3 linked regions of the Saccharomyces cerevisiae S288C genome follow. Changing the gene in region 1 together with any one later gene gives a genetic interaction. Each region holds a gene or a part of one and is shown in the gene's direction. Other genes may lie near its edges.

Region 1 (4,740 bases):
TGTGAGTCCTTCAATATGAAAACGCCCCTATTGAACACAGTTCCCGGCAGTATCACAATTTTAGAACCCAGCATGCAAGAGCTCCAAGATATTGGAGTCGAGTTGATAGCAAAAAAAACGTCGCCCGACTTACTTTGTAGTGTCAATTTAAACACTGCTTTATTCTTGGCGGCACTGCTATTATTGTTGCTATTATTTTCCTTGGCGCAGTTGTTATCCGCCACATTCCCGTCATCTTCCATGTCCACTTGAGTGATGACCTCGTACTTCTTAGCGCCATTTCCTTGCGCGCCTGATCGTAGTCTATCCACTTTCTGTTTTTTCGGATCCAGCTTGGTTTTTATATCATCGATCTGTGTTAGCTTGGATTTGGTGATATTCTCTACCATCAACACCTGGAACAACAGTTCTCTGTCTACAATAACAAGTTTTTTATCTAAGATAAGATTCGAAGCAGTACCAGCCAACCAAGGTTCATTTTGGTAAGCTCTGAAAACAATCTGTTCTCTCGACCCCAAGGTGGCGGAATACGCTGGTGGTGTAATGTCATCTGTGATATCCTGTGATAAGATAGATGAAAAAGACATTCCATCCACTCGGTAGTATGTATGCTCTGCAGTATTTTGGCCTTCTTCTCAGTACTCCCTTTCTGTAAAGATTGTATGATTGGTTTATCTTTTTCCTTTTTCCTTTTCTTTTTTTTTTTTTTTTTTTTTTTCTTTTTTCTTAATAATTAGTTTCTCTTCACGCTACATGCTTTCTTGGCCCGTCCTGAGTGCAGTATCATAATTAATTTAGTAAATAAAGAAATAAACGAAGATGGACCCTCAGAGCAAACAGCCAAGACCGCTTGCATTGCAAAGTAATCTATTATTGTGCGCTGGGCCGCGGATGCCGCGGATAATAAATAGCCGGACCTGTCAAGAGGACGATAGCGGATGCGCTGGGAAGAGCTGTACTCTATGTACACATATGTATTGGTTGGAGCATATGTGCCTACATAATATGTCTAGTTGGCTCAAGCCCGTCAACTAATTAGTCTGAATGTATGGAGGCTTCTGCTGGCTCTAGCGATGTCGTCGTATTTACGTCACTGTAGTTCTCGACTCCCCGGAAAAACCTGTTCGCGTGAGCGGAACAACTTTCCATTGAGGCTTAGTGGAGGTATTTCCGGAGAGGGCATTCATCCCGGATTTCCTATTAGAATGGTGCAGTACGCCGCCCTCGCGCTCTCTACATGCTGTTTTAGCGCGCGTGATATGGACATAGATGCACCACGCGGTGTTTCTTTTCTAGGCATCAAGTGGCTTGCAGCCAATCAAACACGAGGAATGTGGGATGGAAGTACAATCTCCTCACCGCACACCCACGTTTTCCGGGACATTTCTCGGACAGACTCTTTTTTTCTTTTTTTTTTTTTTTTTGCTTCCCACGAAATCGGAACTTATCTATCAGCCGAAGAAAGCGCGTTGGACAGATACTTGAGCAGATTTTGTGGGGAGAGAGAATCTTGGGACAAATGCAAAAAAGAAATGGTCGGAACAAAAGGGCAGTATACAGGGCCGGCAGTACCTTCTGTTCCTACCACAAACCTTAACGATATCGGTGACCCTACTAAAACTGTGCAATAGATATTCCGGACCCACATCATTGCGGTGTTTTCTGAGTCCGCACTCACGGGACGAAGACGAAGAAAGACAAGAGCCTACAAATGACTATAGCGTTTTCTTTTTCCTTTTTATGCTCTTGCTACCTTTTTCGCATGAGAGGACATTCTTAAGGCGTATATTCTTATATATTATACAAAATATATTTAGTAAATTGTTAAATTTACTTATTGACTTAAATCGCCCTAGCGGAAACAAAACTCTTTAAAAGAAAACATCAAATAAGAACACAGACAAGAAATTTTGTGTACAAATGCTGTCAGACTGCTTGCTGAACAATTTCAGAATAACGGCTCAAATAGGGTCGGGTGCGTATGGACTAGTGTTCCATGTGGTGGATATACTGACGAGCCGTGAATATGCAGTGAAAACGGTCTTCAAATCCTCCTCGATGGATGAGTTTTATAATAAGAACGGTTTGAACAACAACTCTCAAGTGGCGCGAACCACTCTTCTGCAAACGCAACTGTATCATTTTTTCAAAAGTTTCCAAAAAAAATTGTTCTTACCTTCCGTTGATCTAGACTCGATATTACAGTTGACTGAGAATGAACTAAATAGGCTACCACACTACAGGGAGATTGCCTTCCAACTAAGAGTGCAGTCTCACGGCAATATCGTGAAGATTCACCAAGTTTTAGAATCTTCTATTGCCACTTTTATAGTGATGGATTATTACGACAGGGACCTTTTCACCTCGATAGTTGACGATAAGCATTTTGTAAATCATGGTATTTTGATTAAGAAAGTTTTTCTGCAGCTTTGCTCCGCATTAGATCACTGTCATCGTCTCGGTATATATCATTGTGATATCAAACCTGAAAATGTCCTACTGGATCGCAATGACAACGCTTATCTTTGCGATTTCGGGCTTTCCACTAAATCTAAATATCTAGCTCCAAATGTGTGCGTTGGCAGTTCATATTATATGGCTCCAGAAAGAATATTGTATTGTTTGAATACCACCACCAACGGCATACACGTCGACGAATGCTGTTCGAGCCTCCCTACGGATACAGGAGATATATGGTCTCTAGGCATCATCCTAATTAATTTAACTTGCATAAGAAACCCATGGTTAAAAGCTCACCAGAAGGAGGATAACACATTTCAACATTTTGCTAACGATAATAATGTCCTGAAGAAAATCCTTCCTATATCAGATGAGCTGTTCACAGTGTTGACGAAAATTCTACAACTAAATCCATACACAAGAATAGACATGAAAACTTTGATGTCCGAAGTTTCCTCTCTTACTTCTTTCACCAGGGAAGGGCCCTTGTCTCAAGTTCCAATCCTATCGAGCGAAGTTTACATGACGCATATTATAAGGAATGAAAACCTATTTTTGAGCGATTTATCACATTTTTCTGCAGACCAAGAACAACAACAACAACAGCAACAACAACAACAGCAAGTCCAAGAACAAGAACAGGAACAAAAACAAGAACAAATACAAAACCAGGAACAAGCACAACAGCAGCAAGAAGAGGAAGATGCTGAACCGGAGAGTGATATTCCATCAACGTATAATAGTGACGGAAGTATGGAAAAGTATGAATACACTAACAACCACAATAATAGTACCTTTTTAACTTCCTCAATGGACAGTACACCTTACCAATCTGATATCGATGACGTTAGTGCTTCCAAAGATTGCAAATTCCAACAAGATACATTAAGAAATAGGCTATTATGCTTACAAATGAATTTTTCTACTTTAACAGACGGTCCAAACGAGAAATGGTTACCAGATTATTGAGCAGGTCTCACCTTTATACTCACTGTATTATCTTATGTTCTAATTCGGTAATAGCTTCACCTTTTCTTTTTATCTTTGAGGTTTGTTTTTTTTCTAGTATCCTACTAGGATGGCTATAAGCAATGGCTGGAACGATTTTCATACTTTTTTTACGAACTTACGACTTTTCAGTGTCTTCTTTGATCAAAAGGAGATCACTATGGATATATATGTCCTACATAACTAATTACAATAATGATAGAATGACAGAACTTAGTCACTTTTTTTGTTTCTCAGCCCGGCGACGGCGCATTTGAATGGGTGGAAATCTTCGCTGATACCAGGTTGACAGTCTTATGATACGATTTTTTCGTCCTTTGCTTCCCCCGCAATAACCTTGCCTTTCCTCTATTTGCCGCGTTAGTAAAAGACCTTTCACAGCATCTGTAAAGTTCCTTTAATCGCATTGCAAAATACCAGGGCCTAAATGGAACTTCCTCAAACTGTCTTTCCAACCTTTCTAAGGGGTACATAAACTTTTGATATTGGATTTCCATCGATTCCCAAGGACTTCTCTTTATTGGACATTGCTTGCCTGTGACTTTTATAGGCGGCTTATAATATAGCACAAGGTCGGGCAAGTAACAAAATACAGCACTTCCTCCATTCTTATCAGGGTAGTAAGAGACTGAATCCCGAATCTCTTTTTCATTAATAACAATTTTGTTTTCTTCGATTTTCATGTTCTTGGTGGAAGAAAAAGTTTCCAACCAAGAATTGAGTTTATGTAATAATGATTCTGGGACAGGTGGCAATAAGGTAACACCCTCTCTTTTTTTCAATTCCATTTTATGATTTGCCGTTTCAGTTCTAGAAGTTTTCAAAGCAGAGTTTCGTTTGAATATTTTACCAATGGATTTTGAAAATCGTTTACCAGCACTAAATTCATGCTTGGATCCCGAATGTTGGAACAGGTGCTTAACACTCACAATTTCGGGATATTTATTAGGACCATCATTAGTACATGCCATTTCCTCTTTCCTCGCCACCAGATTTTAAGGCAGTTGATGTTTGCTTCCAAGGGAGAAAAGGAACTTATAACGGTTAAAATTAATAGAGCCTGAAGAGAATGAAGGCAGCCAAGACATTGATTAACATCCTACAATTGTAGAGCAGTCAAACGAGTTAATACCACAAATGTCAGTAATTAGTGGAACTTGTGCAAGTATCACCCGGCCAGCTTGCCAAGGCGGAAAAGTAAGTCAAAAGGCACACCTCAGCGTTTGAGTACCTGAAAAACGATGAATCGCAAATAAAACTTTAAATTATGCC
Region 2 (2,519 bases), on another chromosome or scaffold:
TAGCAGATATATAATTAAGCACTTTATACTCCGCCAACGAGATTTAATAAGGGTCTCATTTGCAACGTTGATTCTCACTTCATCATTGAGGAGTTGGCTTTCTTCAGTGTTTGGTCTCAACAGTGGTTGAGTTTCTAGATCTTGGTTATCCGCTCGTAAGGGTGAGTTAGTGTGCATCTTAAAAGGTTCAAGGAGTAATGCACTACACTAAGCAATAAAAAATCCCAAAAACAGGAGGATCTTGTGTCTTCTTCCCCTAGACAGTTCATCTTTTTGATTCTGGGCTTCGCATTTACCTTTAGAGAAAATTAAATAACCCCATGCATGCGATTCTAAAAAAAAGTTAACTAAGCGATGGGATGAAATTTTTTTCTGGTGGTTGTTAGCAAAGTAAAAACGAACAGGATATAGAGTGAATAAAGGACAGTGAGAAAAATGCTTTATTTGATCGGACTTGGTCTCTCGTACAAATCAGACATTACCGTTCGTGGTTTGGAAGCTATTAAGAAATGTTCTAGAGTTTATCTAGAACACTATACCAGTATCCTAATGGCTGCAAGCCAAGAAGAGTTAGAATCTTACTATGGTAAAGAGATCATCTTGGCTGATAGGGAATTAGTTGAGACTGGTTCTAAGCAGATCCTAAATAACGCCGATAAGGAAGACGTTGCTTTCTTGGTCGTGGGCGATCCATTTGGTGCCACCACACACACAGATTTAGTTCTCAGAGCTAAACGTGAGGCAATTCCCGTCGAAATTATTCATAATGCGTCCGTTATGAATGCAGTTGGGGCATGTGGCCTACAACTATACAATTTCGGTCAAACCGTTTCCATGGTTTTCTTTACCGATAATTGGAGACCAGACTCATGGTACGACAAGATCTGGGAAAATAGAAAAATTGGCCTTCATACTTTAGTGTTATTGGACATCAAAGTTAAGGAACAAAGCATTGAAAATATGGCCCGTGGCAGACTAATCTACGAACCACCAAGATACATGTCTATCGCTCAATGTTGTGAACAATTATTAGAAATTGAAGAGAAAAGAGGTACAAAGGCATACACTCCTGATACTCCAGCAGTCGCAATTAGTAGATTAGGCTCGAGCTCCCAAAGCTTTAAGTCTGGTACCATAAGTGAGTTAGCCAATTACGATTCAGGAGAGCCACTTCATTCGCTTGTCATCCTCGGCAGACAATGTCATGAATTGGAGCTGGAATACCTGCTAGAGTTTGCCGACGACAAAGAAAAGTTTGGGAAAGATGTGGCAAATGACCAAGAGTACTTCAAACCTGCGGCATGGGTCCCACCCACAGAAGACGACAGCGACGAGTAAAGGTAATGCACACGCTCATGTGTAGTTTCTTTTTTATAATGTATATTGAATAGATCCTTTCAGTCGGGTAACAATTCGATCCCAAACGAATCGGGCCCTAACGATATGTGTAAAAATGGCAATGAATGAACAAGAAGTTATAACAACAATTTCAGCCAAGAACAAGAGCGATCCTGGAGGAGATTATATACGGATACACAGGTACACAAGATGACGCAATTAAAATATTTGTTGCTGGTTTCTAGGCAAGGAAAAATCAGATTAAAGAAATGGTACACGGCAATGTCCGCTGGTGAAAAGGCAAAAATTGTGAAAGACTTGACACCTACGATATTAGCAAGAAAACCCAAAATGTGTAACATCATCGAGTATAATGACCACAAAGTAGTATACAAGCGATATGCTAGTCTATATTTTATTGTTGGGATGACGCCCGATGTTGACAATGAACTGCTGACCTTGGAAATTATCCATCGGTTTGTCGAAACAATGGACACATATTTCGGCAATGTTTGTGAGCTAGACATTATATTTAACTTCAGTAAGGTCTACGATATCTTGAATGAGATGATTATGTGCGATGGCTCCATCGCAGAGAGCAGTAGGAAGGAAGTACTGCACCATGTGACCGTGATGGACACCATGGAGAGCAACGATAATCTTGAAAGGGTATTGAGTTAGGACCACTAAAAAACAATGGAATGAAGAAGAAAGGAGAAGAATAAGATGAGAAGGGGGCAAGGGGCCCTACTATTATTACCGTCTGTCGCAAAAGCCGTTGCCCGGACAAAAATATCTTTTGCGAGCATCGGCACAACGTTGATTGGTCAGAGCGGTAAAAAGGAATGAATGTGAAAAATGTAAAGAATATATAGGCGATAAAATTATCATGCGAAGTGATGTACATATTTTTGAATTTAAGCATCAATAGGACGAAAGAATAGATTTCAGACTAAGATAAAATAATCGAGAATAATTAAAAGACGATAATGAAATTGTTTCAAAACAGTTACGATTTCAACTATCCATGGGACCAGGTAACCGCCGCTAACTGGAAAAAATACCCAAATGAAATATCTACACATGTCATCGCAGTGGACGTTTTAAGAAGAGAATTGAAGGATCAAGGTAAGGTCTTAGTTACTGAACGGTTGATTACTGTAAAACAAGGTGTTCCCAAA
Region 3 (3,100 bases), on another chromosome or scaffold:
CCCTCGTCCCTCATTGACCTTTAAAAGCTCCTCAATGTCTTTGAATACTATTGATATATTTTTTGACGATTCTCCAAACCATTTAGAAAAGATGCGTGCACAAGACAATTCTATTATTATCCCCTTATAATTAGTATCAATGGTATCGGAACCGTCTGAAAATTCCCGCCTCACAGATAATTTTTGGCAAAGTGCTTTGCATAACGTTGTTTTACCTGTTCCCGGAGGACCATGGACAAGGAGTAATTTATTATTTGTGATTAGCGTTGTAATGTCTTCTTGATTGGAGTCTCCAGTTTGTTTGAATCTTGCTATCTTGAGAGATATAGTTGCGTAGCTATATAACCTTTCTTTAATATTGTTACCAAAATACAACGATTCCCATTGGCCCTCGAAAGTTGTGCCTGGAAGATATGATATATTTACTAAGTTTAGTGTTTGCTTACTTAGTGGAATGTCAAAATTTCCCACCGAATTGATACAATTGTTTAAAGTTTCTCCCTCAAAACCATCATCCTCGTCTAGTTCTAAGTCAATCTTGTCGAACTCTGTGGACAGTATGCTGCCATTTTTCAGCTCATCTTGCTCTTCCAGACAGCAAAAGGGATATATAATGAACTCGTCAACAGATCCCATGTGATAAGTGTCCGACTCGTTGGTCTCCTCTGAATCTAAAATAGAATCTATGTGCTGACCCAAATTTATTTTCTCATGAAAGTTCAATTTAATAGAGACGTGTGATGTGGACTGTTGCTCTATAGAAATTTTTTTAACGAATAAGGATAGAAACAAATTATCTTGTCCTTCATTTACTGTGTTAACTTTGCCATTTATGCTTGAAAACTGGTGTAATAAAACTTTTGCTAGGCTTCTAATCAAATGTTGTTGCGCCTCCGTTGGTGGATCCTTAATTTCAATACTTCCTTGCCCCTCTCTCATTAATTCTTGGCCAGTTATAATCGAAGTCTTTAAACGGTCTTTTGGGAAACTTTCCAACTTCCTCTTGACCACTGCTTTTAACAGATTCAAAAATTCTCCCAGCTTTTTGTTGCTGTTTTGTTTCGAGTCAGAACCAGAATGTAGAGAAGAAATTTGCTCATCCTCTCTAAACATACATTTGATAACCCTCAGAGATGATCCTCGCACTTGTAGGTCAACTATGTAGCTCATATCCTTATTTTATGTCTTCAGTTTGAGATCAGAATATTTTTATGAAAATGTTGTCACTCTCTTTTAACCGCCTCGCATTTCGTAGATTTGCCGCCCACCTTATTGTCAACGGCAAATCTAAGGATATATATACATATATATATATTTTTGAGAAAGATTATATTTTCGCCAACGATGAAAAAGAGAAAAGTACAGTACTATGTATTATGTGTTTTTCAACTCAAGAGAGGGGCAAACATATAACTGGTGCTATATATGATTAAGGCTGCGCTCAAATATACTTCTTACTTAATTGACTGAACAATACGTTGATAAGATGAAGGAAGAGTCTCAGATATTGGTTTCACAAAAAATTCAGAGAATGGAGTCATTTCGGTTACGGGCAATCTTTCGGTGATTGGTACGGAGTATCGCGATCTTTACACGTTCCACTAGTCAATCCAATCCAATTTATTCATTTGTCCGTAAATATTCTGCCGGCCTTCTCCCCATATTACAAAATAAAAAAATAAAACCTGAGTAATGGAATAGTTGGAAAAGCAAGGCAAATTTCCATCAGAAAGCAAGCCTATCCATTCAGCTAAGCTTATGAGATGAGTGTATTAAGATCTACATGCCTTTTCTTCCCTCCAAGATCCTTGTTGATATCATTTAACAAGCGGCGATTATTTTCAACTTCGAGGTTAATTTTGAATAAAGAAAGTGAAACTACAAAGAAGAAAGATAAAAGTAAGCAGCAAGATTTTAATCCTCGGCACCTGGGTGTTGCTGCCGAAATATTTATCCCCTCGGCTTACAAGAACCTTCCAAATGTATTTGCTCATCCTCTCATTGTTGCAAATGCATTGATCAGAAGACTTTACACGTTTGGTTTGAACTCTGTTCAAGTCGCATTGTTTCGTTTTCAATCAGGCATTAAACCTTCTTTTTTACTCTGGAAAAACAAAGCCATAGAGACGTATATCAATGTAAACACGTCATTTGCTCATAAAAATTTGTCGGACATCAAAGGGTTAGTTTCATTATGGGTTCAGGAAGCTCTCGAGGCTAGGTCCCGTCAACTTCCAGGTAATGCAACACTGGACTGGCAGTTGATAAAGTTTAATGCAGTTCCTAAACTAGTCTCAGTGCAACCAATCATGATTCCCGGAATGCCGTTAGAGCATTTACAGTTGGTTTACAAATTTGATACGAAGCAAAGACTAATTAAAGTCAATCAGCAAACTAAGAAGACTGAGACGTTAGACCGTGACGTTGTAGACTATATTGCCTTTTTGTGTGATGCTACAACTAATGATATGATTTTAATGGGATCTTTGTTTGAAAGTAAACCAAATGATAAATTACCGAAAAGCTACGAGGACGATGCTAAAGTTGCCATACACAGAATGAAAGTTAACGGTGATATATATCGTTTACCTCCAAGCTAAGGCAATATGTATATAAATGCGAAAAGTTTTGGAACATCTGTAAATAGCCATTGCTTCATTTGAGTTTCTTATTCCACATACCACTTACATATTCAGTAAAAACTATTCATTTGTTTTTCATTCTGAAGTATATATATTAAATTTATTAAATAGTTTTTCATGAAAAAAGTTATTGAAGCATCTCCCTTTCAATAGTGCATTAACTCTCCCATTCTAACCCATCTTTCCGTTGAATCGTCATAGAACAATGTTTCTGACAGATTGGTTTTCCTATAACGATCTTTGCAGCACAATCTGTGAAATAATTTCCATAAGCCGGTAAGAATAGTCCTGTTATAGCTGATACTACCTTGTACATAATTCATATCACTGAGCTTTGCTTCATCTTTTAGAGGCTGAGACTTCTCAAAACCTTCTGCGCTATCCAAACGATAGGTGCTGATTTCTTTTAATGCCAATGAATTATTAGAACACTTCCTACATTTAAGAACAACCTCTTC

The links. A genetic interaction does not mean that the proteins touch.
Region 2: mutations in SKS1 (region 1) and APS1 together harm fitness more than expected from each alone (negative genetic interaction), as found in Saccharomyces cerevisiae (3 studies listed by BioGRID).
Region 3: mutations in SKS1 (region 1) and MBA1 together harm fitness more than expected from each alone (negative genetic interaction), as found in Saccharomyces cerevisiae (3 studies listed by BioGRID).

What each region holds. Positions count from the first base shown.
Region 1 is NC_001148.4:499,364-504,103, reverse strand, and holds SKS1 (putative serine/threonine protein kinase SKS1), read left to right. Parts: upstream 1-1,920; coding exon 1,921-3,429; downstream 3,430-4,740. Other genes in the region: RMI1 (Rmi1p), read right to left, coding at 1-587; SMA1 (Sma1p), read right to left, coding at 3,702-4,439. UniProt on the Saccharomyces cerevisiae protein: May have a role in glucose regulation.
Region 2 is NC_001144.5:500,079-502,597, reverse strand, and holds APS1 (Aps1p), read left to right. Parts: upstream 1-1,548; coding exon 1,549-2,019; downstream 2,020-2,519. Other genes in the region: TAG1 (Tag1p), read right to left, coding at 1-177; DPH5 (diphthine synthase), read left to right, coding at 436-1,338; UPS2 (Ups2p), read left to right, coding at 2,328-2,519. UniProt on the Saccharomyces cerevisiae protein: Component of the adapter complexes which link clathrin to receptors in coated vesicles. Clathrin-associated protein complexes are believed to interact with the cytoplasmic tails of membrane proteins, leading to their selection and concentration.
Region 3 is NC_001134.8:598,623-601,722, reverse strand, and holds MBA1 (Mba1p), read left to right. Parts: upstream 1-1,763; coding exon 1,764-2,600; downstream 2,601-3,100. Other genes in the region: PCH2 (Pch2p), read right to left, coding at 1-1,170; YBR184W (uncharacterized protein), read right to left, coding at 2,789-3,100. UniProt on the Saccharomyces cerevisiae protein: Mitochondrial inner membrane-associated mitoribosome receptor that spatially aligns the mitoribosome exit tunnel with the membrane insertion machinery and allows cotranslational protein membrane insertion.